Linked DNA regions of Caenorhabditis elegans. The protein of the gene in region 2 purifies or fractionates together with the protein of the main gene of each other region. This does not show direct contact. Each region holds a gene or a part of one and is shown on either strand. Other genes may lie near its edges. The genes, in order: nrde-2 and nrde-3.

Region 1 (16,470 bases), on a different chromosome or scaffold from region 2:
TTCTTTTGTGAAATTGAATTTTTTTTTCGTTTTTCCACTTATCTGTAAAATCTGTTTTTTTTTCAGAATATCAGAAAATCGAAAAAACTTTTTTTTTTCAATTTCTGGGAAATCTAATTTTTTTTGTTCCCAGCCCTGTGACTTGATAACTCACTAGATTGAGTATTTTCGGGGAGCATCTGAATCTGTAAAAGACCCATTCGAAGCATAAATATCAGCGACCAATCCGGTGCAACATAACTCTTATCACTTGCAAATGACAATTGTTTCTGATCTTCATGACGTTCAGTTGCAGACCATATTCCACGTTGTATTGACATAAGATTCCCACCATCCATTGCTCTGTCTGCATCTCCATCATTTTTGTGTGAAGTCGATGCTGCGGAAGATTCAGATAAGTGAATATTTTCCGCTGATGGTACTTTTCGACTGCAATCTTCACTCTGCGAGTCACTCTCACAAAGTGAATCGAATTTATTGTGCTTGTGACGACGTTTCAGTTTTCCCCACATTTCGAGAATCGGACGGGAGAAGGTGAACAGTCGTTTGTAGATGTCGACGAACTTTATCTCAACCGATTCAATTACCATATCAACATTTGATTCAGTGACGAAGACTCCTTGGCATAACGTCTGAAATAATTTATGAATTCGGATGCAAGCGGAAAAAAGAACGTACAAAAGTCTCCTCAAACTTCATAAAAGGTGTGAACAAGCAGATGGACGTGTGAACTTGAGGACGAAAAATTCGATTCGTTCCGGGTATGACAAATGATTTTACTGATGATCGTAGAGCATTTCGAAGGCTTGGGATGATTCGATCAACGAGGCAACAGTTGGATTCATCGTCCTGAAAAATTACGTGATTTCGCACAATTGCTCTGGGCTGGGACTTGTTAGGTTTTTCATTTGTTTTTTTTTTTGGTATTTTGACGAAACATTGATTTTTTGGTTTTTGGGACCAAAAAACCAAGGCTCATTTTGTAGAATTTTCAGATGAACAATGCAGCGCAGCCGTGCCAAAACCAACTCACCGCCATAACAACGGATGGACTGAGATCAAGAACAAAAACAATTCGATAATATCTGGATATATATGTGCATTTCGTTCTGACAGTCACAATGAATTGCTCGTCTCCAACGACTTCTGTACCATCTCCTCCGGCTGGTACAATCCCGATGACTGTCATCTCTTGCCTGTACTCATCTTTTGGATCTTTTGATGGTTTATATGATGAGCATTGTGGAACTTCTTCGATTGATACGGCCTTTCCGAGATGATCAATGTACCAATGTGCACGAAGATTGCGGGATGCACGGAAGATTCTGAAATTATTGTTTTTCAGGATTTCTGATATTGAAAATTGTGGTTTCTAGCTTTTTATTGTTGCTTTTCTGGAAATATTAGGCTAAAAGCTCATAAACGTTTAATTTCAATTGATTTCTTATTTTCTGAAAAAACCATATATTGCCAGCTTTTTCCTTCTTACCTGTGCATAAACAGAAAGACCTCTCCGGCCTCCCGCAAGTTTTTTGTTTCAGTATCCATTTGATCGTTTTAATCGAACATTTGGGCTGAAAATTATTTTTTTTGCTTTTTCTCTTCAGAAGCTTTCAAAATATGAAAAATTGAAGTGCAACAAAAGCGATTATTAGTTAGTATTACATTAAAATGAAGAGTTTCTTTATTAACAAAAAAAAAACAATAATCTTTCACTCTACTTAAATTACTACACAAAAACTAAATAAAAATGACTGACCTAGAAAATAAGGGGAAAACGAAAAAAAACAATAGAAAAACAAGGGCCTAATTGAATTATCTAAAAAAATTATATTATCAGCAAAATTTCTGATTAAGAATGAAATTACGAAATTACCGGAAGTTTGAAGATTTCAGAAAAGAAAAAACAACAAAAAAACGTAAATAGAAAACAATAGAGTATCATGAACAAGGAAATGAATATTTTGAAATTAAACAGCAGTTTCTCTCTTCAACGTAGTTCCGAACTTGACTTCTTGGTTACGAGCTTTCAATTGCTCCTTCTCAAGCCATTCCATCTTATGTTCATGTTGAACCATTGCGTCAGCAGTATTACGATCAACGATAGCCTCGGTGAGCACTCCGGTTTCAGATGCATATGCAGAAGCTTGCCATCCGATGACAAGTTTACTCAATTCTCTTCCACTCATTCCAGATGTCTTTTTGGCAACTTCATTACACTTAGCAACCCAATCAAAGTTATCGAGTTTCAGTCGTTGAGAACGAGATCCACTAGTTGCTGGAGTGACGATGTGCTCGTTGAAGTATTGCAGAAGAATTCGTTCACGTTCTTCCATTCCTGGCAGTGTGAATTCGACAAGCTGATCGAAACTGAAAAGAATAATAAATTCTGTTTTTTATTTAAAAAAAAGGATTACCGATCGTTAACTGCCCAATCGAACTGCTCTGGCTGATTAGAAGCCACGACAAGCATGAACTTTCTCGACTGCTCTCCAGTTCTGAAGAGGAAAGCGTTGAGAGCTGCACGTGTGTCTTCAGACATTCCATTCTTTGATCTCTTTTGCAAAAAAGCGTCAGCTTCGTCAATAAAAACAATCAACCCTTTGCGACTTTTTGAAGCCCAGTCGAATACTTTATGAATTGCAGATACTCCATCACGTCCAAGTGGAGCAATATCTCCTCCAGTGAGAACTGCGTAATCGAGTCCGGAATGTTGAGCCAAACTCTTTGCGAAAAGTGTCTTTCCGGTTCCTGGTGGTCCGTAGAACATTACATTACGGAAAAGTCCATTATTTCTCTTTGTGTTTGAGGTGGTAATGGCAATATCACGAAGACGACGTTCCAAAGCAGGTGGTAATACAACTCCATTCAGTGGATCCTTCTTCTGACGAGTCATCATTTGAACACTTTTAATTGGGTGTTTGAGTACTTCAAGTGGAGTGATTCTGGATGTTTCTCTTACAAGACTTGGTTTTCCGAGACGAGATTCGATGTATCTTGCGGTGACTCCAGTTCCTCGTTTAGCGGTATACCAGCCGACAGCCAAAGCAGTCAATCCTCCTACTGCAGCAGCGATTTTCGTTTTATCATTCAAAAATTGATTGAGTCCAGAACCGATAAGTTCTCCACTGGTTTTAATTTTTTCAATGACAGTTTTTCGGTTCTCTTCTTCGTGAAGCTTCATTTGCTCTAAGTTTACATCTCTGTTATCTCGAGCAGCCTTTGCCCTGGCTCTGGTCTCTGCGTCAATTTTCTCGAGCTCGTATTTGTGTTTTAATGCTAACTCATGCTCAATAGTTTGCTTGCGAAGTTGTTCCTGCTTCTTGACAGACTCTTCTTGTTTTCGGAGGCTTTCTTCCTGCATTCTAGCTTTCATGGCAAGCTCCTCTTCGGCTCTCTTTCTGGCCAATTGATCTTGATATTCAGCACGCTGAAATTATTTAGTTGTTATGTATTCAGATGTTTGGAAAAATTACCGAATGCGCATGTTTAGTCTCTTCTCCCAAAGTCTTCCTCCGTTCTTCTTCAGCAACACGAATGTGCTCTGATTTCATATTGGCCAATTGAGCTTCGATCTTCTTGGTCTCGTTCTCGACCTCTTTTTGGCGTGTAACTTCTTGCATTCTCGACAATTCAAGAGCTTCTTTGGCATTTGGAAATTTCTCTAGATCACGAGCAGCCTTGGCGGCACGCTCCAAAGCTGTTGAGTCGAAGGAATATGCCATTTTGCTGTTTCCCTCTTGCCGTTGGCCTTGACCTGGTTGTTGTGGACCGCCAGGAGCAGCACCTGCTTGAAAATCATCCGGAATCTGCGGAGTAGCGTTTTTTTGAACACCAAATAACCAAGACATCTGAAAGAATAGATTGAAGCTTGGGATGGTGCAAAAATATTCTAAGGAATATTGATTAAAGGAAATGATTTATATATGTACTTATGCCAAAGTATGAAACAATAATTTCTTTAAAGGAATGAAATTCGGAGAGACTTTGTGTAATCCTTGAAGAAAACGTAGTATTAAAACAGAGTTGCAACCTTTTCAGTAAAATTAGATGATGCAAAACAGATTTTCCGGCTCATTTTCCCTGAATTTAAAGGACCTGCCGTCAAAAAAGACCTGCCGTCGTTATAATTCACGAATTTCTATTTTTTGAAACACATTCTGCATTGAAAAATAAACTTTAAAAAATTAAATTAAGATTGTTGGAAAAAAACAGAAATCGCTAAGGCAGATTATGCTCCAATGACATTTTCTGACGCATTTCTCGATATCGTAAAGTGCGCCAGCGTTCAAAGGCCACATCTGAGGCCCCACGAAAAGGGGAGCAGAACGAAAAGGGGATCTGCAAAAAGGGGATCTGCGAAAAGGGGAGATACGGAAAGGGGAGATACGAAAAGGGGAGCAACGAAAAGGGGATCTGGCACTGTGCCAAACGCTATTTTTCTCGAAGAAAACGATACAACGATTGTCGCGAATACGCAGAATACTGATGTTCCGCCGATCACGACTGAGAAATGATATTAATACCCAGGAAATGCGTCAAGGAAATATTAAAGAATTATTATGATTATTACGAAGTCTTTCCGTATTCTAAATGCTCACGACAATCCACCGAAGTCATCAACAACGACAAAGCCGGGAAACTCCTGTTTGAAAGCCGCGCCAAAAGACACACACGTCACGAGTGTTACAGTACTACCACACATGCACATCAAACCCCAACACGTCGACACCGCGCAAGGAAATCGTCACTTCTTCGTTTTACTCCCGGACCGGCAGGTCGCATGTTAAATATGAGCTTTCTCATTTTTATCATTCAACGGATTTATCAGTAATAAATTATATAATTCTACCACTTTTGAACCTATACCGATCCGAAACATGGTGCATCGGCTCCGATGTTACGCGTCGCGTGTTGTTAAGCGTATCTTCTAGAAGAAAACTTCAAAAATCAACGTGCGTTGCGTGAGAAAAATTGCGTTTTGTGCGTTTGGCACAGTGCCAGCTCCCCTTTTCGTATCTCCCCTTTTCGTATCTCCCCTTTTTGCAGATCCCCTTTTCGTTCTGCTCCCCTTTTCGTGGGGCCTCCCACACCTTTGTTTTTCTTTTCGAACAGTCACATTTTTCCTTTTTTTTTTTGTTTAAAACTTTCTTTCTTTCATTAAAAAAACAATTATGCAAATTGTGAATTAAGCTGTTTTCAGGGTAATATCATACCAAACTTAATGAACAATGTTTCGAGCGTATGGAAATAATGGATTGAAAAATCCAGAAAGTAAGTTTTTTCTACGAATTCATCTCATTTTTATAAATGCAAAATTCATTTTTCCAGGAATTTCTGGTGAGAATCCAGATCTTTATACGCAAACAAGGGCTGCTGTTCAACAACGAGCGGTGAGAAATATTTAGTTTTTTTTTTCATCTTTCATGCGATTTATTTCAGACTACCACTCTAAAAAGAAACGAAAAACAGAAACTCGCCGTGCAGAATGACTCTGTTTTTCAGCAAGTTGGAATTGGAGAATCTGATAGTGATGACGATAATGGTGGTGTTCGGGTGAGGCCAGTGACATTTAAACTTTAAACTTATTTTTGCTTTCAGATTAGAATGAGCCCCCACAGGTACATTGATCCAGATGATGTTTTCACTCTCCCAGAGGTGAAAAAGCAAAATGCCTTGTGCGTAAATAATTTTTCTAGTTTGAAAATAATATAAAATTTCAGGAGAGACGCGAAAATTGCGGCCCGAGCAGCTCAGGCAACTGCTTACAATACATTTCCGTCCGTTAAAAGCTTAAATGGTTGCCAAGATCCACCAGAAACAAGTCAACAATCCACAAGTCGTAAACGTTCAGCAAGCAACAGCAGGAGTCCATCGAGATCTCACAGTCGCCGATACGATCGGGATAATGGCAGGCAACGCAGCAGGAGTCGTGAAAAGAAGAGAAGAAAGAAGGAACGCAGACGAAAAAGATCCAGTAGCCGAAGCTCTAGTTCATCTCGTTCTCGGGATAGGTCATCTCGTGCTCGGGATACGTCATCTCACACTTTAATGAAAATGAACAAACCTGCAAAATATGCATTTCTCACCGATGAAGAATATCGCACGTGCGATGCGTACATTTCATCTGCGTTTAGTAAGTTTTTTCATCGAAAAAAGTGATCATATCACAATAAAGTTAATGCTTATTTACGATTCAAAGTTAAAATATATTTAGAAATTAAATATTCATATTATCGCCAGCCGGCAAATACTGCGCAATTTTCAAATTATTGTTAATTTAAAAAGTTCCAACGAGAAAAAATTACAGTTACTCAAACTAAAAGTGATTGTGAAAACTATACGCAAGGAGTTCCGAAGAAAGAAATTGCCAAGTGTCGATTGAGTGTCAAGTTTATTGTCGGTTTGGAGCATAACAATATTCTGTTCAACGTATGTTTTGGCACTTATTTTTTAATCTTTTCAAAAAACCAGTTTTCAGAATATTTATGGAGCGGAATATGCCAGAGACAAGGAAAACCGCCCATTCTGGGAGCAGCTGGATAGATACTTGAAGGATGTTCCGAAAGAGACATTCTTTCGATATGTGCCTCCAGTCGGCGGTTACTGGAAGATTCGTGACAGAGTTGATTTATTAAATCTTGATGTGAGTTATTTTGAATATATCGGAAACCGAAAACCAAGATTTCAGCACATTGACGATGATGTTCTAGCAAACGATTCGGATAATCGAAAAGATGCGTTCACATTTGAGCTCGAACAGGCGAAGAAAACATTTTCCGAAAATGTTCATAACATTGATGCTCTAATCAAAGTAATTTCAATGGAAGAAGAAATGTGTCGTCGGAATGTTGGAAGTTTCTCCAGTTCAAATCCAGCAGCTCTTGCCGAACGTCACCAGGAAATGGTGAAAAAAGCCATTAAAGCCGACGGTAGAAATGCAAAACTTCGATTGATGAAAATTGAATTACTCATCAAAATGGATCCCAACTCTCCTACTATTATTGATGACTTCAAAAATCTTACCATCACATTTCCACATGAACCAATGGTATGGATCAAGTATTTGGACTATATACAATATGATAGCAATGTGTACAATTACAAAAAATTGAAGAATGCATTCGAAGATTGTATCCGACAAGTGACTGGATTGACAAATGGAACACTTCTTTCACATTTGAATGCTGTTAACGATAGACCATTGCTTAGAATGTTCCATTTATGGATTTATATTCGTTATTTGAAGTGGATGATTTCCTGTGCACACACGCCAGTGGTACTGGCAAACATACAGGTGAGATTTTAGGAAATACTAAGAAACCTTTGGTTTTGTGAGTATTAAATCACTTTTTTTTTCAAGATTTTACTTATTTCAGGCCACTTTTGAATACAATTTTGGACTCGCTGATGTTGAAAAGCGGACGAGCACTAATTCAAAAGAACGGGAAGTCAGATTGGAGGAATTCTGGGAATCTGGTCTTCCGCGAATCGGCGACGAAGGTGCTGTTGGTGCAGAGAAGATGCTTAAACAATCGGAAGAATTATCTGATGAAGATATTCAGAAATTGGAAAATGATGATTTTGATATTCTTATTTCACGCACCGAGGAAACAATAGCGACGTGTCTTCAAGCTCAACGGGACGTGCAGATTTCGTGGATCGAAGTTGAACGAGAAATGATGAACATCGATGCTCGCGTGAAACGGACGAAACTGAAAGATTGTGAACTTTATGAAGATCATGTGGACGACTTAGAGACATGTGAACTCTGGGACATCATTCCTTTTGATAGAATTCGATATTATGAAGCACCAGGCGATTGTGCTAATTTCGATTTTGTACAACCTTTTTTGGAGTTGCTCGGCGTCAAATTTTTAAATTCGGTAAGCAAATTTCAACTAATATTATGCTTGAAATTAATTTTGAGGAATTGTAAAAATACTTTTTTTTTCCAGACGAACTGCTTCACAACAACCGAACAAATCATTTCTGATTGGATTTCTAATGATTCTACTGTTAACTTCTACAAAACTCCGACTTATACCGAGAAAAAGTGCTTTGAAGTTGGAAATAATATTCTGAAGTTTATGCTTTACAATCGACTCAAACTGACCGAAAACAATCCTGAATACTTGGATAAGACTATGGTGAAGTACTTGCTGGCAATGCTCGTCACCGAAGCTTCGGAACAGGAGAAGAAATTGAATTTCCACAGTTTTAAACTGAATCTTAAAAACTTGGTTGGAACATTCATCACTAAACATCCAGACATTTTCAAGCGTGCCATGCTGAGTAAGATCACAGGAATTGTCTACATGGAAAAGTTTGTGTCTTGGTGGGAGCGTGCACTGAAAGAACAGGAAAAAGTAGTGGAAGCTGACGAGAGAAGGAAGAATTATAAAGAGATCAAGATGGAGGAAGGCGTCGTAGATGATGTTAAATTCGATGTCATATTGTTAAAGAAAGACAAAGAACGAGTGCAAACAATTCGTGATAAGATTAGGGATATGATTGATATAGCTATCCCCAAATCAACAGAAAAGCTCATTCAGAGCGCTGATTCTTCATTGCCAACGCTTCAATTACATCTTTATGCCAATGTTCTACGTGGAAGACTTTCTATTCTAAATCAAAATGCTTTAGAAGAGACTCGAGATGTTTTCTGTAAAGAGATTCTTGGAATTCACACTTCGGAATTTGAAAGTGATGAAGCTCTCTTATTGGCATTGGATCAAGGATTGAACGAATTGCTGGAGCATTGCAAGGAGAAGGACAATCTTGAATCGGTCGACAGTATACCAGAATTACCAAGAGCTGAGGCACTGTGCGAAGCTTTGAAAGTTGTGGCGGTATTTGTTTTCTGTGAGTTTTATAGTCTTTGAGTCTTTGTAAAAATTAATTGATTATTTTATTAAATTTCAGTGGACAAGATGGCATTCAGCAGGCGTGCAGTCGACTGCCTCATTGCCAACGCGATCACCAAATTCGAGCAATTTGAAGCCAAGAAAAATGATTTCAATCGTGGAACTTATGAAAAATACTGTGATCAGATCGATTTGAAATTCATCACGGACACTCTCATAACCTTCTTTTCGCACAAAAAACACCGTTTCATCTACAATGAAAACTTCAAAAAGTTGATCTTCCAAGCATCGCAAGCGTTCCCATGTGATTCGAAATATGCGAAGATGCTCGGCGAGCTGCATTCCAGCGGTCGTCTGCAAGTGATGAAGCTTCAAGGATTCACCGACAGCAGAAATAGTATTTTGAATGCGAAACGAGATCAGCAATTTGATCCAGAACTTGAAACTCGTCTTCTCATGAACTCGTTGACTATTATGTTCTCTTGGATGAATGCAGCCAACCGGATTGGAGACGCCGGAAATCAAATCCTCTATAAAAATTGGAAACGAGAAGCAGCTAATACACGTGATCCGGCTATCTGGAGACAAGTTATAAGAGTTGCCAGTAAATTGTCACAGAAGATTCTAAAGGACGATGTGAGTTTTCAGGAAAAAAGGTTGTATGTGAAATTTAAATTTCTTACAGGCTTACACTCGTGCAAGAGGTCAATGTACATGGGCTCTCAATTTGCACTTTGATTATATTGAAGCAAAAACTGTCCGCAAGAATGGAGATCTAATGGAGATGATGTAAGTTCAATTATTGAGAGCAAAGTTTCAGTTCAAAAATGTAATTTGTTGTGCCCGATTTTTGAAAATAATCAACTAAGATTGATTTTATTACAATGTTCAAATTATCGAAGTATAATTAATTTAAATCGTATTATTTTTTTTCGATTTCTAGTCTAGTCTATATACAACAATACAATACAAAGCGAATAAATTTTATTAAAACGCTATGCAATTATAATCAGCACACATGCCAATGCATTCTAAATAACACTATTTACAGCTACCTCATTCTCGAACAAAGCATGGGACAAGAGCATAGTTTATTTGTGACCGACGAGGAATACATGAAAACACAGCAGGAAATTGGACTACAGTATTCCGAATCCGGACGTTGATTCTCTCTTTTTTGTGTAACTCGGCCTATAACTTTTTTAAAAATCCATTCCATATAATTATCCACCGGTATTCATTTCATCCCAGGAATCTTTCTTTCTTTTGTTCTTTCTATCCGACAGATTATGTTTATTTTTGTATTATAATTCTTCTGTCTTTTCGCATTTTTTGTTTCGGTAAAAATTTTTTGTTTTCAACAATGAAAATATTCGTTTTAATGTCATATTTCTTTCATCATGAAAGAGGTTACACTTCCTCCAACCAGTTCCTTCCATGCATGAATAATTGTATTAAATATGTATTGCAATGTATGTGCACAGATGTTGAGGGCACTCCGCGGAGCAGCGGACCTACTATCGACGGCTCTTTACAAGAATGAAATGATGATGAGTAGAAGGTGAGTATAGATTTCTCTAATTATTATTTAAACTATGCGAAAATCCTGCTTTTGGCGAAAAATTTTGATGTTTTGCTTTTTTTACACTCGAGAATATTTTAAACTTTCAATTTATAAAATTTGTTTAAGCGAAAATTTTTCGTTGAAAAAAGTGAACCTGCCACAAAATGGAAACGTTTTTAAAAAATTAATTTTTAGAATTTCCCTTTTTTTTCCGAAAACTTACACTTGAAATTAGAAGTAAAATGCAATTATTATTAAAATATTCGAAAATTCTCAACAAAAAAAAACGTTTGAGGCCTGCGAAATTACTCGTATTTTTGACGAAAAGTTCAATTTTTGCTTTTTTATTCGAAAAAAAAACTAAATGGAAAACTTTTTTTTTGGTTTTCAAATTTCAAAATTTGTTATTCGAACTCAATCCTTTTCTCGCGCTGAGAAAACAGGAATTATCGTCTTATGGCTTAATTTAAATGTCCAACAATTTCCAGATATTTATCAACTCCAGCTCCTGAACCTGCAAAACCATCATCTGAAGAGACTACGGAATCCACGGAACCGGCAACATCTGTAGAAGATGCTGGAGAACCTATGAAAGAGAAACGAATCACTCAACCATATTCTAGCGAGGCGCTTACAAAATTGAAACTTGATCAGTATCCATTGTAGGTTTTTGGTTTTTTTTGTATATTTTTGAAATTATTGCCTGCCGCTTTTTTATTCTCAAAGTGAGAAAGAATTGCACATAAACTATACACTTGTATTGAATATACGTTTCTATAGATACGTGGAGAGAGAATGGTGGAAAACCGGAAAACGAATGACATTCTGGGCGAGTTGGCGTCAGTTGAGAGATGTCAAACGACGTGAGCAGATTCAGGTTGGTTTCTATTTTTTATACGAATATTGTCATATGTGCTAAAAATATTTTTGGTTTTTATTTCAAACCAAAAAGGAAAAAAATTGAAATTTGTAAAAGAACCAAAACAAAAAATACCAAAAAATACGAATATTGTCATATGTGCCAAAAAATTTGTTTTAAAGGATTAAAGGATTAAAGGACGATCCGTTCTTCAAGTGCTATGCACTGCGGATCTGGGATTCAGGTACACTGCCTGGTGGTGATCCCTCTGGGCTGTAATTTAAGCCACGTCCTAGCCGGGGACTGTGGCCGATAATCCAGTCGTGGATTGCTCCACTTCCCAATAGAGGCTGGGTGAACCTAGGGGGTGAGGCCGGACTTGAACTCGTGACCTCCAGACTGCTAGCGGCCACCACTACCGACAGAGCTAAAAAACATCAAAAACCATAAGAATATTTACAAAATATAAATTGTTTAAAATACAAAAAAAAAATCGCATTTTTCTTCGTGCCAGAATACCAAAAAACACCAGGGCTGTCACCAAAAAAAATTTTCCATAAACAAAAAAAAGTTTTTCGCTTCTTTTCACATGTCTGAAATTTTTTAAATATTTTTTTTATTCGAAAACCACCAAAAAATCGTTATTGAAAATCATTACTTTTTAAAAAAACAAAACCCCACAAAACAGAAAACCCAAAAAAAAAACCATTTTTTGTGACGAAAAAACCAAAAAATTCCCTTTTTTATTAAAAAAACCCCCACAAACCAAAAAAACCAGAAAAAACCCATTTTTGTAACAAAAAACCCCCGACACCCCCATTTTTGACAAAAAAGCCTTAAACAAGCCCAGGCCTGCTGCTTGCCCTTGATTAAAATTTAATTTCAGGAAGTCGGCGCGGATCGTATGCGTCTAAAAGCTATCAAATTCAACACAATTCTCCCGCAAGCGATTCGTGACGAAGCAGCCGAGAAAATGCAAAAAGCTCGAAAATACGATCATCCTCGTCTGATTCTCAATATGTGCCAGTTCACAGGACGACAACGTGGAAAGATAAAGCCATACAGATTGAGTAGACACTTGTTCCGTCGATTTGCAGATAGATCAGCTCTCAGTGGAGTCCAAAGAGCCATGTGGTAGTGTGAGATAGGAGTTGTAGTTTTAGATTTATTTGTTTTCTATTTTTGATTTCTTCTTCGTTTTGAACACTTCTTTTGTTATCGATGCTCTTAATGAATTATTTTTGTTTTATTGTGATATAGATTATGATATCTCTGTATTGGTTATTGATCAATTAAAATACTTTTTTTTCAGAAAAATTATTATTTTCAGATGTTTTTCTGTCCATCAGTGTGCGAGCGTGCTCCACAGCCCCAATACAATGGGTCTCGTTAGTTAATTGGCGGCAAAAGCCTAAAAATTCAAACGTTTTATTTTTCGGCAATCAAGGATGTCTTCGAAAAATGTCTGCTTCAGAGATTCACTGTTTTGCCTCCAATACCTAACGAGACCCAACTATTGGAGGCGGATCCTGCTCATTTCGCTGCTGAGCGCGCTTTCACATTGATCTCAAAAAACGAATTTTTCTGCGGTGTCGGCTTCAAAAAAAATTTCCAGAGAAATCGCTATTTTTTCGTTTTCCCATTGTTCACAAATTACATTAAAATTTCGGTCAATTTGCTTCCTTTTAGTGAAAAAGTATTTTTTTTCTCTTATCAACAGGCAAAGTTTGATTCAAAAAATTTAAAGTAAAAAAAAGATTTCAAGATTTTCCAGAAAATCGAAAATTTTAATTTTTCGATTTTTAATTTTCTCTGAAACACTGCTTCCCATAATATCTATCTCATTATTCTTACAGCATCCTTATGACAAATGCTCAACCAACGGAGCTCATATCCCTTCCTTCGGAGCTCCTTTGCCATCTTTTCACCTATTTACCACAACGACAATTGATCACAGAAATTCCACTGGTATGCAGAAGGTTCAATACGATATTAAACGATGACAAATTTTGGAGTAGAAGAATTGTTCGTATTATTACTATTTTATCGAAAAAAATTATTTTATTTTTTTAGCGCACTGAGCAGAAAGTTCGTCTACCAGATTGTGAACTCAAGCATCCTGAGTATGAACCAAAGAAATCATTTTACGCGATGCATCGACAGAGAGATCGCTGGAGAGCATGGGAGACGCAGACAGTTATCACTGCTCCAGGACATTCAGCTACAGTCGATAGTGTGATGCTTTTCGAGAATAATAATAAGCAATTCTGTCTATCTGGATCCAGAGATCGAACTATTCGTCTTTGGAGCATTGAAAACGCTCGAAATGGTGAAGATACTGAACAAAATCCATGGACAGTGGCAAAAGATGATACAGCTCATTCTGGATGGATTTGGAATATGGCTCAAGAGAGCACATCAACAAATTTCTACACAACATCGTGGGATTCAACTGTAAAAAGTTGGCACATCACAGATAATGGAGCTCTTCAAAATCTTAATTCCGTGAATGTTGGATCTGCGGCCCAGTGTATTTCTTGTTCTGGAAATGAGAATGAAGTTGTGTGCACAACATTTGCGAAACGGGTCGCTGTCATTGATTCCAGAACATTTCAAGTAGTCGCTGATCACAAGCTGCACAAAAGAGCTGTAATTGCTTTGGCTGTTCAAGGGGATAAGATTTTTACGAGTGGAGAAGATAGACTTATGATGATGGTAGATCGACGAAATTTCAGTAAACCTGTGCTTTTTGTGAGTTTTTTTTAAATTGAGATTCAGCAAATTTTTGTTGAAGACAAAAAGATGAGCGCATTTGAAAAAGTACTGTAGTTTGAAAATTGTCAAAATTTCTTGCAAAAAAAATATTTTGCTGGTTTTTCTATAATTTTTCAAAATAAATTGCCAATTTTTGATGAAAAATTTTCTGCATCTTTCTTGCAAATTTTTGAAAGAATTAAGAATCAAGAAATTTTCCATCGATTTTTTGTATTTTTCGTTAAAACATACTCATTAATTCAAAAAAAAACTAAAATTAAAAATTAAAACGCACATTTAAATTTTAACAAATTGTGAGAAAATCTATGAAAATTCCACAGAAAAAAGTTGAAACTACAGTACTCTTTAAAGGCGCACACCTTTTCTAATTTAACAAAATATTATGTGCCGAGACCGGTTACCGTATTTTTGAGTAAAAAATTGCTACATTTAGATGCTGGGTGATTTAAAAAAGCATTTAAAAAGTTTTTTGAATCAAATTTTAAAAAAAATAATATGAAATTGAATTACAGGAATATTCTCCAACAGCATATAAATCATGTCTATCGCTTCAATGTAATCAACTTCTAACATCAACATCCGATGGAAAAGTCAAGTTGTATGATGCAAATAATTTCAACGTTTTGCAGACATATTCGGTAGGGAATATAGAATATTATTCAGTTAATATAAATAATTTCTAGGTCGGTTCCTATACCCGTCAATCATTTTTGGAGCACGGAGCACACTTGATTATGGCGCGAAGTTTGAAGCGTAATTACACATTCAGTGTGAGTAGAAACCATTTTAAGAAATTTCATAGGTCCCCCTATTTTCCTGAGAATTCGTTTTTTTTTTGCAAAATATGCAAAAATTCAGTGTTCCACTCTTTCCGTTTGTCTCTCTTTTTCGAGCACAAAAAATGAAAAAAAAAGCAAAGATGGATGTATATATTCGGAATTCGATTTGTCACAAGGCATTTTTTTGGTTTTTGGTTGCTTTTTTAGCACATTCTTGGACTCGGAAGAAAAAAAACCACATATCTAAAATTTTGAACGAACGAAAAACAGTGAAAATATGCATTAATTAGAATTTCAACCCGATTAAATTTCCAGATCTACAGCCCAGGAACACGTAGTCAGCAGTGGTGTGCTTCACATGAATTGGCCGCGGAGCCAGCCAAATTTGATTATTCGTAAGTTTAGTTGTTAGCACACAAAATTAATTGAAAAAATTTAAAAAAAACTTCTAAAAATGATAATTTGTAAAATTTTCATATTTTTCAGAAAATTTTAAATTTTCCAATTCTTCAAAATTTTGTAGGTTTAAGCTCTTAAAATTGCCAGATATTTTGGAATATTTTTAAAAAATTTGGATTTTCGAATTTTTAGAAAATTGGAAAATTCTTTATTTTTCGGCATTCCAAATTTTCAGAAAATTTTTTGCTTTTGGAATTTCCAACAAAATATAATTTTACGGCTTTCCAAATTTTCTAAAACTTTGAAATTTTTTGAATTCTTCAATTTTTATTTGTATTTTTCGGTTTTTCAAATATGCAAAAAAAACCGGTATTTCTGAAAAATTGAAATTATGCCAGATTTTTTTTTTGAAATTGACTAAAAATTTTATTTTTTCAGCCCATCATCGAGAACTCTGGCAATTGGCAATGGTGATAGCTCAATTCTGTTCTGTCTTCCAGCATCGGCTCCGGATCAAGAAAACTGAATATCTTCTCAATTTCTGAACATTTCCTTTGTGTATATACCAAATATCATTGCCATTTGATATGATCTCTTCTGAATCGATATCATTTAACTTCATATTTTATAGATTTGCATAATTATGAAATGTTTTGGCCCCTTTCCATGCTTCTTCCTGTTTAACCCCGTTTGGTGCACAGTTTAGCGCTCGCCCGCAAGAAAAACAATGGTGGAGCTCACCTGGAGCATCGTGTTATTTGTCTTTTGGCAAATACACAAAACAGTCTTCTCTCTTTCTCGGCTCGTGCTGCGTGGCTCATTTGCGTATATACTCTAAGGAGTTATGCATGGAACGTTTGGAACGTTTGAAGAAGAGAGCTCAATGTCTATGTCCCCCGTGTGCTCTCCGGAGACAAAGGGTTAGGCGGAGAGCAGCAATATGAGCATTTTGACAAGTACTCAAATATTTCTCCATTGTTTAGTTTCGAGATAATATGGTTAAAATCACAAAAGTTTCATGTTTACCGGAAAGATTTTCATAGTTAAAGTGTGCCATGCGGAGCCGGAAATCTAGAGAATTTCGTCGAAAATTTGAAATTCTTGGCAATAAAGTTATTATGGATCTTTTGAAATCGAGGCGCAAGGGCGCTCTATGGCACTCTCCGCCCCTAGACGTTGGGTCTCGTTAGGAATAGAATCCGGAAATTCGAATTTTAAATGTTTTTG
Region 2 (16,082 bases):
GCGTCGGAGAGTTCTGGGCACTTCACGACTCTATTAAGCCGCCAAGTGGGCTCAATCCACCATCAGATTATAATGTTTTCAGAGATGGAATTGAGCCAATGTGGGAGGTGAATTTTTTTTTTGATTTTTGCGCTGATGCACACGTGGTATAAATATTTTCATAAACACATTCCAATGTGTTTTCAGGTGCCACAAAATCAGAATGGAGGAAGATGGCTTATCACTATCGAGAAAGGACGCACTCCGGAAATCATGGACACTATCTGGACCGAAATTCTTATGGCGATGATCGGAGAGCAGTTTTCCGACGATATCGAAAGTCTGTGCGGAATTGTCTGCAACGTCCGTGGAAAGGGCTCAAAAATCTCAGTTTGGACTACAAACAGTGCTGATGACGGGGCAAATCTGAGAATTGGGTAGGTTTTTATAGTCTAAAAACTAATGAGGTTGTAGAAATAACGTTATTGGTTATGAAACTAGTCTAGTTGATCATTACATTTGATTGAGCCACAGACAACTTCTGGGTGTTACAAGACGCAATTCATCCGTTCAAAAACAATTTTCCACTGCTAACCGTTTGCAACACATAACGTTATTGGTTATGAAACCAGTCTAGCGCATCTTTCATATGTACCACAGAATTTGATTGCTTAATGGTCAGCGAAATTCCAAAATTATGTTAAAGCAGCGGTACATGTAAAATTGACAGGCAACTGTAGAGTAACTAAAGTGAAACTTTCAATTTTGCAGAGGCGTCTTGAAGCAAGTGCTCAACAATGCAAGCATGATCCATCAGAGACCACTCTACGACGTTCTCCGTTATGAGGATCATGAGAGTTGCCAGAAGAAGACGAGCTCAGGAGTCAAAGCGAAGCACGCCATTTACGCGGTGGAGCCACGCGAGGAGAAAGCCCCAGTTCCAGTCTCAACCGAGACTCCTGCCACACCAGCCACTTAAATTTCTTTTTGATGCGTTATTTTTATTAACATATATCTTGTTTTTTTTTAAATCCTAATGCGTATTCACGTCGTATTTTAACATGTTCTTCACTTGTTGAAATGTTTTTATTTGGTTGGCTTGCGGAAATGAACGAATGTTTTATATCTGTGTTTTCCTTCAACTGAATAAAAAAAGAGTGTATTATCATCACTTAGTTTTCTGGATTTTTTTTTTCAAAAACTACAAACTGACTTATAACGTGTCCATGATTTGATGAGAACTGCGGACGCCCGCGTCTCTCTTCTCCACACGCTCCACACGCTCTCTCGCGATAGGCGTTTTGCCTAGACGTTAGACAGCGTTCGAGAAAAGAGACACAGGTGCTTTTTGCGCGTAAGATATGGCGATTTTTCTCACCCTCACATGGATACGTAGCACAAAAAGTCTATTGGGTTTTCAAGACAAATTTTGAAGTATAGCGTCCGGACCGGATACATTCATTGCGTCCGGTGTGTAGGATTTTCGAAATTTTCCAAAGGGTAGGATACCGTGAACGGCGGCTGACAATTTCCGAGTTAGGCCACTCTTATAATCAGTGGCCAAACTCGGAAATTGTCTGCCGCCGTGAAAACCTACCCCTCGGAAAATATTCAAAGTTCTAAGTGTTCAATGGAAAACATTTAATTTTAATTTGGTTTTAATTAGCTTGAAAATTAATTAGACAAGATTTTAAAATTGTCTAATGGAAAACAAACATTTCTTAAATAATGAACCACAGAATTTTTCAATTTTCTTAGCATTATCCAGTGTTGAAACCAAACAGCATTTCTTTAAAAACTTTTATTGAATTTAAAAAAGACAACGTTTAAACATACAAATGGTGGAAAACTTTTTAAGCAAAAATTCTGCGTTAAGCTTGTTTAATTACAAATTTTACAGCTTATTCATCTGTCCTGAATTGTAATTAAATGGGGAAATGGATGAGAACCGAATGAAACGCTTGGAAGAAATGGAGTTTACGGTTGGATTTTTCGTCGAAAATTTGTCCAAATTTTTTTTGCAGTATTCAATTTGCCAAGCATGGTGGGGTGATCTCAAATTTAACTACAAGAAAAAGGAAATAAGATCTCTTCGAATTTCCGTTAGAAATGTTTGTTTTTTTGTTGTCCAACTGAAAAAGAAATTTATAAAGTACCTAACGTTTCAAAGTTAAGTAGTCGGCTGCAATATTAATAGAGGAAATACGGTATATGATAATCAATTTTTGCAAAGTATTCAATTTGAGAATTTTTCCACAATTTTGCAGTTACCTAAAAACTCTGAAAATGAAAATGATTTAGGATACAGATAAATTCAGACTGGAAACACCCGTGAAGTAGCATTTGAATTCCCGGTACCAAGTCTCGACAAACAGAACAGTGTTTCAATTAATCTCTCTGCCGTTGATGTGTCTCAAGTACTGGTGAGTAAAAACTGTGGCATCTGTCATTTTAAAAAGCGTCATAAATTTTCAGTCAAAATTTATTGTGATTTTTTTTTCTGAAACGGTCGGAAATGTTTGAATGAAATAACTTTTTGCACAAACCACATTCTCATGGAAAATTTGAAAATTTTCAGAATTTTTTTAAAAAGTTGGATTGACTGTTGATTTCTATTATAAAATTATGAGTAGCAACAAAGCGGGGTTGACCGTGTTTGACTGCAATATAAGATGTGTACCAGGGCTGTGCGGCAACCGGCAACCCAAGTTTGCCGGTTGCCGAAAAGTTGTTGAAGTTTCGGCGACCAAAAGTTACCGGTTGCCAAAATTTTTTGGGTTCGCAACTTCGGCAATTGCCGGTTGCCGAAAATCTCGATTGCCGCACAGCCCTGATATGTACTTACACAATTCTTCGGAAAACTTTTAAAATTCGAGGTGCCGAAGTGTGCCGGATCATTTTTTTTTGTTGTATAACAACAATTTTTGCAGTACTCAAGCCCTCAACTTTGCTGTAGTCTACCTACATCTCTTATACTCCGTCTGTCTGCTCAAGGCATTCAAAAAATCATTGAGAAAGTTCCGGTGAATGTGAAAAAGTGGGAAAGTTTGCTTAAAAATAAACAGAAAACCTTCCAGTGTTTTTCGGAGTAAGGCCAAGTTTTTATTTGTTGAAGTATCGTATAATTTTAGTTCACTAATGTTTGTTATTGATCCTTCGAATACCAACCGTTTTGTTTGTGAAAACAACGTCAAGGAAATAACCATGACTTCATATACAGAAGAAACGACTTACTTTTTTCACTTTGTGAGTTGGGTTTTCTATGCACGAACAACGTACGGTAACAGAAGAAATACGTATAAAATACAGTTATTTATATGTTAACTTTCCTCCGAGATAATATTAAAATGAACATCAAATTTAGGAAAAATACAAATGTGTAGATTTTGAAATTTTGGAGATGATAACTTAGAGACATATAATAGTGCAAAACAAACAAACCGAACAAAACAAGTTTTCTAGATGTTGTGGTCTGAAAACGTCTGGAATTAGTTGGTTTCTATAAGTCTATTATTAGTATGTAATGACAAGAATCAAATTAGAGAAAAAAAAAATCAAAAATAAGCAAACAAGTGGTATCAGGCTGTCCCATTAGAGTTAGATCTACAAAAAATGGGGGAAATGGGCTTTTCCCAAAAAATATGTGGCGTCAGCACGTTCTTAACGTAGATCTACGTAGATCAAACAAAAATGGGAAAACCTGACACCACGTGAGCAAATACAAACTAGAATAAAAAGCAACTAATTGTATTGATATGTTTGATTGACAGTTCAATACAAGTTATAACAAAAAAAGCAACTTTCCAACATCAATTTTCTACTGTTAAAATTGAGTCTCACTTTTGAAAAAAAAAACCTTGCAATGTTAATTGTGCGCTGAAAAATATGGCTCTCTTTTTGGTTCTAATTTCAGATTTACAAAGCGGGCATGTTTTGTGCAGGTTCTCTCGGTCTTCATGATTTTGCCTAAAACTAAACCAATGCTTTCTTTTTGAGATAGATAACGATTGGATGAACCAGCTTGTCTCTTTGAAATGGACAAAATCGGAATGTATGAATTTATTTGGTAATTTTTCTTAATTTGTTACCATGATTTTATACTTTTTTCAGTTTGTCTTGATGAGCGAAACTATACAAAACATTATAAAACTTTTGGATTATTACCCAAAGAAACAACACGGCAACTATCAAACGGAAGGGAACTTTTGACTTTTAAATATCGTTAGTTTTTAGAGGTTTTATCAGGCCTGCTGGTTCTTCGGGTTTTCGACTTATCTTACTAGGGAGCCCCTGCAAATTGGCCACCATAAGTTGACGGGGCTCTCTAGTTAAATAACCCCAAAAATCAGTTAAAAATCTCAAAAAAATTCAAATATTTAAATATTTAGCGGTCACCTTTGCGGTCACCACCAGGCAGTGTAACTGAATCCCAGATCCGCAGTGCATAGCACTTGAAGAACGGGTCGTCTTTTAATCCTTCAATCCTTTAATCCTTCTTCAGCATAATCCAACTAAATGTCAGAAACTGTTATAATTATTCTAAAGAAAACAATATAAGGAAACAAAAACCAAAAATTAAATTGCATAATAAAAAAAAAGGTAAAGGTTTACTATGAGTAAATTTTTAAAAAAGCTGAAATATATAACATGTTTTTCAACAGCAAATACATCGATTTTCAACTGATTTTTATTATATCATTTTTTAACCAAAGTTGTCCAAAATAAAGAAAATGATCCAATAACAGTAAAATAAAACCTATTAATTTATGTTTCTAATCAAACACACGACATTGATAATTTAAGGAGCAGAAAATTATATTTCACAAAATTTCAAAATAATTTTCTAAACATTGCAGAGCCTCCAACTACACTAACATCCATTGATGATTCCGAAAATTCGGACGACGATTCGGACGATGAAAAAATTGATTCAAATAATGCGGAACGTGAAGAACTTTTGCTAGTAGAGAATGAACTAAAACGGCAAAATAACGAAGATACCAGTTCAGAAAGAGGTTGTTAGTTAATTGTGTTCTTTTAAATAATTTGTTTTTTTCCAGAATGCTCCCAGCCGTGCACATCAGCACCACCGAAAAAACGAGGAAAAAACCAGTGAAACCCGCAGTGATGTATTAAGAAAATATCTCGAGAACTAAAATAAAATAGTATAAATCCAAAGGTTTATTTTACCAAAGGGAATTATATTTTACTTTTCTTACATAGGATGTACTCTGATGCTTCTTTCTTACTTTGTGTGTTATTCGATTCACCCCGATGCTCATTTTTTAAATGTTCTATCTTATCTAGATCCGAATAAACAACAATTAATTAATCAAATAATCATTTGTTAACTAAAGTGAAATTATATATTAGAATAAAAGATTTTTTTTAAATAAAATTTTCCAAGAAGCTCCCAGATAGTTTGCCTAATCCTAAACAAATGTAAAATCAGACTTTCTAAAGTGCTGTAAAAATGCACTGAAACATTTTCAGGTCAATATTTTTCAGTGCAAGGTGCTCCTCTGCCATTTTTTTTTCAAATTTGAACATTGAAAGTGTGCTCCCCGATCGTTATATGTCTCGCCCTCAAGTCATCAAGTGAAATCCCTGGTAAACCATGAATTTATTGGTTGGTTAAAAAAATTAATATTGAAGTTCATAGTGTTAGAAATAAGGAATACATAATGAATAAATAGTAAAAAAACAACATTGACACTTCTTAAAGTATAAGGGGATGAGAGTTTGATATCAAGAATTGTAAGGCAAAGTGAGCAGTTGATAGAGATTTGAAAAAAAAAACAGGATGAGGTGGCAAAAGAGTACAGATTGCAAAATGATAATGGAAAAACGGCAATTATGCCCAAAAGTTGCGTCCGTTGATGGTCATTGCATTTAGATCGTTGGAAACTGTCTCAATGAAATCGCGCATCAGAATATCGTCAACTTCCTCTGACGAAATGATTTCCTCATGTTTTTCCTTGATTCGATAAGAGTAGTCGTTCATGTCCACAAGCTTTCTGTGATACCGATTAATTAAAACTGTCTTGGAAGCAGGTCAAACTCACGTGTGTGTTTTGTAGTTGTTGTGACCACGTTTAGCAAGATTTTGAGCAGCATAGCTCACGTTGGGGATAGCTGGTGGTGCATAAGAGACCTGGTGGGCAAACGCCAAGTGGTAGGTGACATTCATGATCTCATTCTTGCTCCAACGACAATCGTTGACAATGATAGTATACTTTGTTGGTTTTACTGTTCCCTGAATATTGATCATAAAACATTTGTGCTCAACATCCCTTGCTAAAATCAACTCACAATCAGAGGTGTTTGGCAACAAAGAATGAACTCCTCGTATCCGTGAGAGGCTCCTGGCACATCGACGCAAGTGCCGGATTTTACATTTTGCTCCATGGACTTTCCACGTTCATTAATGTGTTCAGGGAATACTCGGATGTGAGAGTTGCGTTGTGTGCAAATAACGAGAAACTTGGGATTGTAACCATGCTTCTTCTTTCTTGCAGCCAGCTTCATCTCGTTAACCTCGTTGACAATTTGCGGATAATCTCCTTCACCACTTCCGACACGATAGACAACAACTGTCTCAGGAAGATACGAGCTCGATTGCTCGTAAGCATTCAAGCAAATTTGCATCTTCTCTTGAAGATTTCTAAAACTATCAAATAGATTAAGAACACGGAAAAATTCAAACTTACGTGAGCTTGTGCAAACGACTTTCCTGGAAATATGAAAACCCTCCAAGCTGAGCACTGTGTTTGAGAGAGTACGCAACTCCGACGACAGTTGGATCTCCGTCAAACATAACTTTCTGAATGTCGAATCTGGTCCTAGCGCCTGTATGCGACATCTCGAATCCGATAAATTGCGTCTTTGCGTACAGTTTTGCTCTCATTTCAGCAGAATTGTTGCAAACGACTCGATGGCCAACCGACTCGGGCACGTCAATTAGGAAGTTAGTTCCTCCACACTTGGGGTTCAATTTTCTGATGACATTGTCAATGGTTTGTTTTCCACCATGGTCACGCATGAATTTGTCCGCGGTTTCAGAAGAAATTTGAATGGTTTGCTGTCCAAGCTTCTCCTCAAAGTATTTGAGAATGTCTGAAAAAGCAATTTCAGAATCAGAATGTGATGCGGTTTTTGACATAAGAAATTTCAGAATTTTCCATGCACACTCTTGTATTTAGTTTCGAATGTAACAATTAATGCCTTGCGTCCTCGCACACAACTAACCTTTAATGCTTGTGGCTAGTAAAGTGGTGCTCTACCTAAGTAGACCTGCAACATAAGGTGTTAGGTCGCAATGCTACTTGCGATCTGGCGACCTAGATCGCATTGCGACCCAAATGATACCAGCCCTAGTGGCCATCCTCATTCACTCTCCCAATTTGGTAGGATAAATTCATCCAACAAAAAAAAACTCACCATGCATATCTGGTCGTTTTTCGGCAATAATTCCAAACACAATCGTAACGCCGTTTCGAATGGCTTCTTCTATCTCCACTTTTGTACCTCGTCGGTCTGATGAGCCGAGATTAACTTTTTTCCAGCTGTTCGGGCGGCTATCAAACTTCATTCCTTGTTCGGAGCAATGCTTGGCAAGCCCTTCGGCAAACATACTGTAAAAATAATCATTGAAGTATTTCTTCGAAAAGAAAATTCTTACTCGACGTTTCTATTAAATTCCTTGTCGTAGTTGATAATCGTCACCGACTTTACTCTGGCTGGCATGACAAACTTGCCATTAGTCTGGAAACGCACACCACGGGTTGGATTTAGACTGTACAGCTGATTGTTTGCGAACTTCATGTCTGGTGGGGAGAGCCAATGGGCATTCGTGACAATTGGCTGGATGCTTTTGAGCGACACACGGAAAGCATCCATTTGGCGATTTGCAGGCTGGTCACCAAGTTTTAAATATTCCGTCAAAACCAATTTCGACTGTTTGATGTGCTGATCAGGCAGGCTGCTCATTTTTCCAGTCATATAAGATTGCTGAAATAAATATATTGATTGAAAATGAAAATGAATAAATTGAAATAACAAAATGAAATAATTGACTAATGTTTTTGGCTTGACAACGACCGTGGTCATTATACCAATCTGCAAGGTAAGACATGATGATGCAAAGAAAAAGCCGACAGTTGGCCCAGATTCAAGATTTCCTCGAACGATATTATTTTTAAACTAAAAAGTAACGCACAATATCAACAGTCATATGTGACTGTTTGATTCTCTGGCCAGGAAGAATGGACATGAGTTCCATAGGATAGAAATCGTAACATTTCGCCCGTTTTGAAGTCACCAACGGAAGATGTGGGAATTTGAGACGATAGTTGTACCGTTGTAAATAATACTCTGTGATGGAAGTGAGCTTCATCTCTCCGTCGGGAAGTTTTTGTTCAAATGTGACACTGAAATTTGTTAGTATTATATACGCATAAAAGTGTTTTTGGAGAAACTGACCTATCTGCTGTTCCGGTGTGAATTTCGTCTATCATGATTGAACGATTGGCTTTCGAGTCTTTAAGATGAATCGGCTGACAATCCAATCCTTTGAGAGACTGCTTGAGAGTGTTCAGCATACCATCCGAAATGCGTTCGTCTTGAAACTGTCTTTGATAATGTGAGACAGTTCTCTCGTCATAATCAATTTCACCATCACGCGGTGAGCGTCTATCATCGTATTTTCTACTGTTCCCGCCGCCATCGCGACGCTCTCTGCCACCATTGTGGCCTCTGGGTCCTCCACCACTATTTGTAAGTTGATCCATTTTGGCAGTGAAAAATTTGAGGAGAGACGTATCTTTGTAGAATGGCGATTTTGTTGTGTCAACGGTCATAATTGCATCTGGTACACCGTCCCGATCCACAATTTTTGTAGTCTTCACGAATCCTGACTTAATCAGAGTAACCTCGTCGGGACTGGCAATATCGCCCCCCTTCGTGGGGAAAGTTCCCGACGAATAGAGCAAAAACTTCTCATTGTGAAGACATTGGTCTGTTATAGCTTCAATGATACGTGTTAGCTCAGAACGGTTCTCCAATGTCAAAGCGTTTGGTCCACGCGTGTAGATCTGTAATTTTTTTTTGAAAAAATAAAAAGGAGAATGACATGTTTTTTATATAGGTTTGTGTAGTAGTTTGAAAAGAAGCCGTTTAAATAAAAATAAAAACTGCAACATGAAATTTGCTCAAATCAGAGCGCCCAAACATTTCACTTTAAGTTCTCGGGGACAGCCAAAATACAAAAGGAAAAGACGCTAAAAGATGAGTTAAGAATCTGAAAACGTTGTCATACCGTGCTTTCAGGACTTATGTTTTTACAGTCGTCTTCATTGGTAACTTTTTGTGAACTTTTGAAGTCAAAATTCCTGTTTCAAATTTTCAGCGTCGATAAGATATAGACGGCTCAAGAAACTCACTGGTGGATTTGTCTTGATGCGAATTTCAAATGTCGACCCACTCCGACGTGAGATGAGAGAAACGATTTTCCATTCTTGTGGCGAAAAGTCAGCTTCTGTCAGATGGCATACGTGCTCGGTCAACTCGACGTCAAAGAAGCTACATCCCACATAGATAGTTTCCGCAGCGTCGTATGCAGCGATTGCCGGATCAGTCATACCTTTGAACAGCTCAGGATTTCGTTTGAACCATGCCCGGAAGAGCAGGCATTGAGCTTGACGTCTTTGTTGACGGTTGACGCTAAAATATTCATTTAATTGTATATAATATGAAAAAGAAATACACTTACTCTCCGGAGAATGCCGAAACGCCAAGAGAAAGTTCAAAGCGACGTCCATCCGTGTGAACCAATGTGGCACGAAACATTATTCTGCTAATTCTCTCGTCCATTTTAGAAATATCTAAATTCCAAGCATTCATTTGTACCCGAAACGTACCAAAATTATTGAATGAATCCGGCACCGACACTAAAAATCAATTATATGTGCAAATTTCGCTTGCTAAAAAACCCACATCCTCCCAGTGGCTTTCGTTTTGGATCGGGACCTGTGCGATCGGTATGCTCTCTTTTTGGAATCCGACCTCCAAGAGATCCTTGCTGTGAGCCCGGAGTAGTGAAAAGTGGCTTCGGTGGCTGCTGTTGGCTGGATGGCTTTTTTGCAGTGCCCCAAACATTTGTACGTGGTGTGGATGACGCAGATGTGGCTGGTTTTTTGGCAGTTGAGCCTGGCTTAGAGCCCATCTCACCCATTACTTTGTCTAGGAGATCCATGATTAGTTGTGCAAATTACCTGAAAGAAATTTTATGAACTTGAAAATTTTATGTAAGAAACTGAAAAAAGAGAGCGAGAAAAAATAGAAGAATAGTTTGTGTATTTATAATTTAGTTAATTATATTTTAGAATAGAGATCAATAGAAAAACAGCGTCAGCACAGTCGCACAGCAAAGGAATGAAAGGCAACACCAACTAAATTCAAAGGCATTTGAAAGAGAGAGGGTGAGATGTGTCTCTTGCGCAAGATAACAGAGCGCGCGCACAGAAGAGGTTAGTGTGCAATGGTATTGGAAGAGGGTGTAGGGTGAATGCGTACGCAGGTATGATCGATCAAAAAGAGCGCGCACCAGATGAAGAACTGTGTAACAGACGAGTGTGTGTGGTGCAACGCGGAATAAACGTATCGATCGGTTATCGGGGAGACTCCTCCTTCATCGCTGATCGTTAACGAAGACATGAATAATAAGAAACCATGAGATCGTCATAATGCTTACCGGTTTGGCGCGAAATATCGAAGTGCCGTGGAGCATGTTTCGAATAGAAACGCAGGTCCCTTCACTACGAGGAACGGTAGGAATTCTCATGATCTCATGCTCGGGCAAAAATAAAAAGTCCTAAATGAAGTGAAACTCTTGCGTAAAGAGAAACTCCTACATATTCTTTCATAGAAATTAGGGATTTTTGCTACAATCTTAGCCTTTCGGGAGTTTTGTCTAGTTTGGAGCAACTCCTGCACACTCCACAATCTGCAACAAACTTAGTACTCAAGATTTTTTATTATTTTTTGCGGGAGTGGTTTCTCAATGCAATCGTTGTTTTTTCCGACAAATCGGAAAATTGCCGGAATTGAAACTTCCGGCGATTTGGCACATAGCCGGAATTGAAAATTTCCGGAAAATCGATAAACCGGCAAATGGGCGATTTGCCAAATTTGCCGAACAGTTTCGGTAAATTGTTTTTGTGGTTTTGCACTTTTTTTTTTTGAAATTTCAATATTTTAATTTCAATCGGCAAAATTGTATCCTGTGAATGTTCCTAAATCTATTCTGAAAAATAAGCAAATCCTATAAAAAATATCAAGAGAAAACGGGAATAAAATTTCAACAAGGCTAAGTTTAAAGTAGTTCCGTCTTCTGAAAAAATTACTCTAAACAATTCCGGCAAACTTGATCGACGGCAAATTGGCAATTTGCCAAAAATGAAAATTCCCTGTAAATCGGCAAACCGGCAAATTGCCGGTTTGTGGATAAAAACTAAAAAATAAACATGTGGATAAAAAAATTGCCAAACAGAAATTGCTGCCCACCCCTGATCCAAATGCATAATTATTGAAAAATCTACAATTTCATTTCAGTATCTTAGCGAGTCCGTCAATAAAATTGTAAAAATGATTGCAATTATGTTAGAAGTAAGTGCAAAAAGATTACAAAAAGCCAGCGCAAACAGAAAAAGTTTTTATTTTATTGCTCGATTGTTACTCTGATCTACAGCGGACGCAGGTTGCGTAGAGTTTAAGAATTTCAGTTTTCCGGTCAATCAATCTATTGGAAGAAATTGAAAGTGTAAAATTTAATAGAATTTTTGAAATACGGCAAAGTTTTACTTTTTTTAAAATATAAATATAAGGGAAAAATATAAAATAGAATTTTGATATTTTAACATTTTAAAAGTTTTTTTGAGGACACATTTTTCAGGAAAAAATGAAAAGATTTCAGTTCTACTACATAGAAACAATACATTATGTACTCACTCGGACTAAAAATAAATATTTTATTTCAGCGGCGGTTCTTTAGATTTTTGAAAAAGTGGTTCAATTGTTTCAACTTTTTTCCCACTGGATTATTCTACTTGTTTTTTTCAATGGCGATTACTGAAGCGATTCAACAGTTTGAAAACTTCAAGCAACCCCAACATTTTTACATTTTTTTCAGAAATAACATTTTCCGGAAAATTGATAACACAAAAGACGCAGATTATTACAATTTAAAAACTAACTAAACATACATTTTGCTAAAATGCTAAACTAAAATGGGCATAACTCAGTCAATGATTTTGGTTGAGCGTTGAAAATAAAAACAAGTGAGAGACTGACAGAGAAAAAAAGGACAAATGAGGCTGGAATAAGGTTTTCTTAGAGGGGGAAAAGACACAAAGCAGATGGTAGCAGATGCATGGATTGTAAACGGGGTAAATTTTACCTCGAAGAGCAATGTATGGAAAAAAAATTGATTTTGCATAGAATAGAATTAAATACAATGGCTACTTCACAAGCGTAAGAAAGAAAAAAAATAACAATTTTAAATTTGCATTCATCTCGACTTTATCTTTAAATTTCGTGCAAAAAACACTGAAAACATGAAAATTGGTAGATAATGAGAGAAAAAAAATTGAAAAGTTAGAACGTACAGGCTTCCTGCATCGAACGAATTCTCTTGGCGATAACTTAAACAGGAAAAAGGCAAAATTGCGATTTTTCCAATTTTCAAAAATCATATAAAATATAGAAAAATTTTTTGATTTTTTTTACTATGATACTTGGTCATCGTGGTATAAAGGCATGTTCTAAAGAAAAAAAAATTTGGCATTTTCGGGTCAAATAATATAATAATTAGATTTTAAAAAAAGAAGAAAGTTTCCAAAAATGTCAGACTTTTCCCATAATTTAATTATTTTAAGTTTATCAAAAGTTTGCAATAATCAAATTAAGGAACAATCCCACGGACTTCAAAGGTAAAAAAGTGCGCAGAAAAATTATTTTCTTTAAAGCTTAAAGGTGGAGTAAGGCCAGTGGGGATTTTGTTTAAATAAATTTATAATGATCCAAAACAATCAAATATGATAATAAAGCACTCAAAAATGTTTTAGATTTTTCATAATTTTTGGTCAAAGTTTTTACAAATTTCCAAAATTTTCAAAAACATGAGCTTTTGAGAAAATATAAAGCAATGTCGCATGTTCCTACCCCTACAATGTTTTAATACAACTAATTAAAACAAAATTAAAATATAAAAACCGTAGGAAAAACAATTTTTTTGGCCGACTTCCAAAATTATGAATGGCAATAACTGAGTAATTGTCACTTTTTGACAGTATATAAAAAAATTTTCAAATAAAAATAAAATTTTACTATGATATTTGGTCATTTCGGCACCATAGGAGTAGTTTTTACCACTTTCCCCACTGGCGCTTCTCCACCTTCAAGTTAGTATGCTCTTATGCAGATGAACATGTCAATAGTTGTGAAAATGTATTTTTGTTTCATAAATTGGTGTATTGAAGGAATGGGTCTTGCTCGAAACTTAAATTAAAGTAACACATGATTTTGAAATTTACATTAAAAAATGTCAAAAATGGCACTCAACATCTCGCGATTTGGAAAAAATGTTTGATCGTAAGTTTCTAAAAACCTACTAATAATGCATTTAGTCATGCTGGAATAGGTTTAAAAAAAATTCACGGCTAAGTGAGAATATAAGACATATTTAATAAAAAAAGTTTTTAGCTATCCATCGGGTGTGGCACAAGTGAAAAAATCCACACAGCTCCGATTGCTCAAGAGCACGTGGGGATAGTAATTGGCCTTACTATTAGTTCTATCTCTGATGACAATAATTTTTTCTGCAACTCTTGCAATTGTAGCGGTAAAGCTAATAGGTTTGTAATGGATTTTCATCTCGTTATGTGTTTATTTTCACGGCATTATACTTTTATTAAAAAACTAACTATGTTTCAAATTTTCAATTCAAAACCACAAACTATCATGTTTAAAATTAAACGTTTTTGAGCATAGTCTTGAATTCGATTACACCACAAAAAAACAAAAAAAAAAGCCTGCAAAATTTCTGGCACTTTATGAAACTTTTATGGCAGATTGGCAAACCGATTTGCCATTAAAAAACCAACAAATTGCCGATTTGCCGAATTTACCGAAAAAACAGCAATTACCAAACATTTTCTGCAAATTGCGGTTTTGCACTTTTTTTGAAAATTTCAGAATTTAAATTTCAATCGGCAAAGTTGTACGCAACCTATGAATGTTCCTGCATATATTTTTAAACGTAAACAAATTCGATGAGAATATCTGAAGAAAACGAGGAAAAATTTCAAAAAGGCACAGTTTTGAGTGTTTCCGAATTCTACCAAACATTTCCGGAAAATCTGATATCCAGCAATCGGCAAATTGGCAATTTGTCGGAATGGATTATTTCCGGCAAATCGACAAACCGTCGATTTGCCGATTTGCCGAATTCGTCGACAAAAACAAAAAAAAATTGCCACCCACTGTGACTGTTAAAATGTTGATATTACATTTTTTTTGACTATTTTCCGCCAAGCCGAAATTTACTTGTTTTCGACCCTTTCTTGAAAGATTACTTGTTCAGTCCGGTGACCGTTGAGCCCGTTCCACCATTTTGGCAAAATCACATCTTAAATTGTAAGCAATTAGGCACACCTAATAACCTCTCGAGCAAACTGCTACATTTTCATATCGTGACACAGAATATTTCTAAGAAACATAATGCACAATTTATTACCCACGCAAAAACTAAGAAAAAATGAGGTATAATGAGGTGGCGAATGAGGTGAGCCATTTCCAAAACTTTTGTATTCAGGATTTTTTATCACTTATTCAGATACTTGCTGAAAATGCAGACGCTTTCCAAATTAAGCCCGACAAACCAAGCCTCTCCTCCGAGGAATCGTGTGGCAACCCCAGAAGAACTCGTGAGTTTAGAATATCCATTTTGTAGAAACAAATCTCAAGTTTAGAACAAGCTTCGTGAGCAAAACGCACTTCTGGAGGAGCACTGCGAAGTTTTGGTAAGTAGAAAAAAACTAAAACAGATACAATCTGTTCTTTTAGTCTGCTAGTCTCACTATCAGAGACAAAGTTTGCCCGTAACACATTTTGTAGTTGTTCTATAATATTTTCAAGTTAGATTATTTGTCAAAACAGTATGAGAACTGAGGTTTTTATCCCCATTTTTTGAGGAGCAATATTAAACTTAAATGTCGCATGAAAATAGCATACAGGAGCTACCATCCGATGGGTCCTTTTTTCAGTAGAATTACTAAGTGACCCACAACTTTGAAACTAGGAAACAAATTTTGATAAGAAAATAATTTCCGCCAAATTTTCAATTTAATGCATTTTGCTATTCTGTCAAAATCTACCATGTCAGTTCATACAAAAAATAAAACATGATTCACAAAAAACCAGTTTTTGAATCTTCTTAGAAATACGTTGTTTACACTTTTTTTGCATCCATTTTTAATTTTGTGTTTCAATATAACCACTGCTCTGTCAAACAATTGAATGGGCTTTTTTGAATTATGTTCTAAGTATGAAATTTGAGTTCTACGTTTAAAATTTTGCATTATATTTATTTCCCAGTCAATCTGTGATCAAACAACAAGCTGCAAACTGTAGAAAACTTTGTGAAAATAATTTTTGCACTTAACTTTTTTTCTAAAAAAACTTATTTTCAACATTGTGGGTACTAAAATAAAGTGACGACCATGAAAATGTTTCATATGCTGGGCAAAACGTACCAACATTAAAGCAAATCCTTGCAACTTGAAACAAAACATTTATAAAAAGTTGTTAAAATCCCTTTAGAAGTTGCAGAAACCAATGAAGCTGTGAACGAAATTTCTTACTAACTAAAGGAATAACGTTAAGTGTGTAATTTCTAGGAAGACAAAACAAACTTCAAATAAAATATTAAATCTTTGGCTACTTTGTTAAGCTTGGTTGTAAAGTTGGAATTTTTTGTATGGAAATTGAGTGTTTTTTTCTGAAATCCCTGCTTTATTTAGTGGCTGTGTCAGTCCTTGAGTTGTTCA

Evidence for each region.
Region 1: the proteins of nrde-3 (region 2) and nrde-2 purify together in Caenorhabditis elegans (affinity purification with western blotting, with the first as the bait; one study listed by BioGRID). This does not show direct contact.

The regions. Positions count from the first base shown.
Region 1 is NC_003280.10:10,236,372-10,252,841, reverse strand, and holds nrde-2 (Nuclear exosome regulator NRDE2), read left to right. Parts: upstream 1-5,203; 5' UTR 5,204-5,231; coding exon 5,232-5,274; intron 5,275-5,331; coding exon 5,332-5,393; intron 5,394-5,442; coding exon 5,443-5,556; intron 5,557-5,601; coding exon 5,602-5,678; intron 5,679-5,723; coding exon 5,724-6,136; intron 6,137-6,310; coding exon 6,311-6,432; intron 6,433-6,481; coding exon 6,482-6,646; intron 6,647-6,691; coding exon 6,692-7,297; intron 7,298-7,379; coding exon 7,380-7,886; intron 7,887-7,958; coding exon 7,959-8,865; intron 8,866-8,925; coding exon 8,926-9,503; intron 9,504-9,552; coding exon 9,553-9,656; intron 9,657-9,918; coding exon 9,919-10,033; 3' UTR 10,034-10,246; downstream 10,247-16,470. Other genes in the region: F54B3.1 (Protein SZT2), read right to left, coding at 155-632, 679-849, 1,034-1,325, 1,490-1,548; atad-3 (ATPase family AAA domain-containing protein 3), read right to left, coding at 1,971-2,370, 2,418-3,430, 3,477-3,851; mrps-14 (Small ribosomal subunit protein uS14m), read left to right, coding at 10,352-10,428, 10,920-11,093, 11,212-11,308, 12,177-12,428; F-box/WD repeat-containing protein mec-15, read left to right, coding at 13,154-13,315, 13,364-14,041, 14,578-14,703, 14,749-14,835, 15,160-15,239, 15,682-15,769. UniProt on the Caenorhabditis elegans protein: Protein of the nuclear speckles that regulates RNA exosomal degradation. Involved in short interfering RNAs-mediated silencing in nuclei.
Region 2 is NC_003284.9:366,403-382,484, reverse strand, and holds nrde-3 (Nuclear RNAi defective-3 protein), read right to left. Parts: upstream 10,251-16,082; 5' UTR 10,232-10,250; coding exon 9,973-10,231; intron 9,927-9,972; coding exon 9,749-9,926; intron 9,700-9,748; coding exon 9,420-9,699; intron 9,072-9,419; coding exon 8,461-9,071; intron 8,409-8,460; coding exon 8,198-8,408; intron 7,990-8,197; coding exon 7,661-7,989; intron 7,614-7,660; coding exon 7,420-7,613; intron 7,096-7,419; coding exon 6,690-7,095; intron 6,644-6,689; coding exon 6,292-6,643; intron 6,236-6,291; coding exon 6,045-6,235; intron 5,997-6,044; coding exon 5,834-5,996; 3' UTR 5,585-5,833; downstream 1-5,584. Other genes in the region: ife-2 (Eukaryotic translation initiation factor 4E-2), read left to right, coding at 1-107, 187-416, 751-958; R04A9.3 (NPL domain-containing protein), read left to right, coding at 1,917-1,961, 2,004-2,090, 2,298-2,402, 2,910-3,067, 3,111-3,225, 3,976-4,045, 4,090-4,200, 4,836-4,994 and 1 more. UniProt on the Caenorhabditis elegans protein: Transports small interfering RNAs (siRNAs) from the cytoplasm to the nucleus. Required for RNA interference (RNAi) in nuclei. Required for exogenous RNAi-induced H3K27 methylation.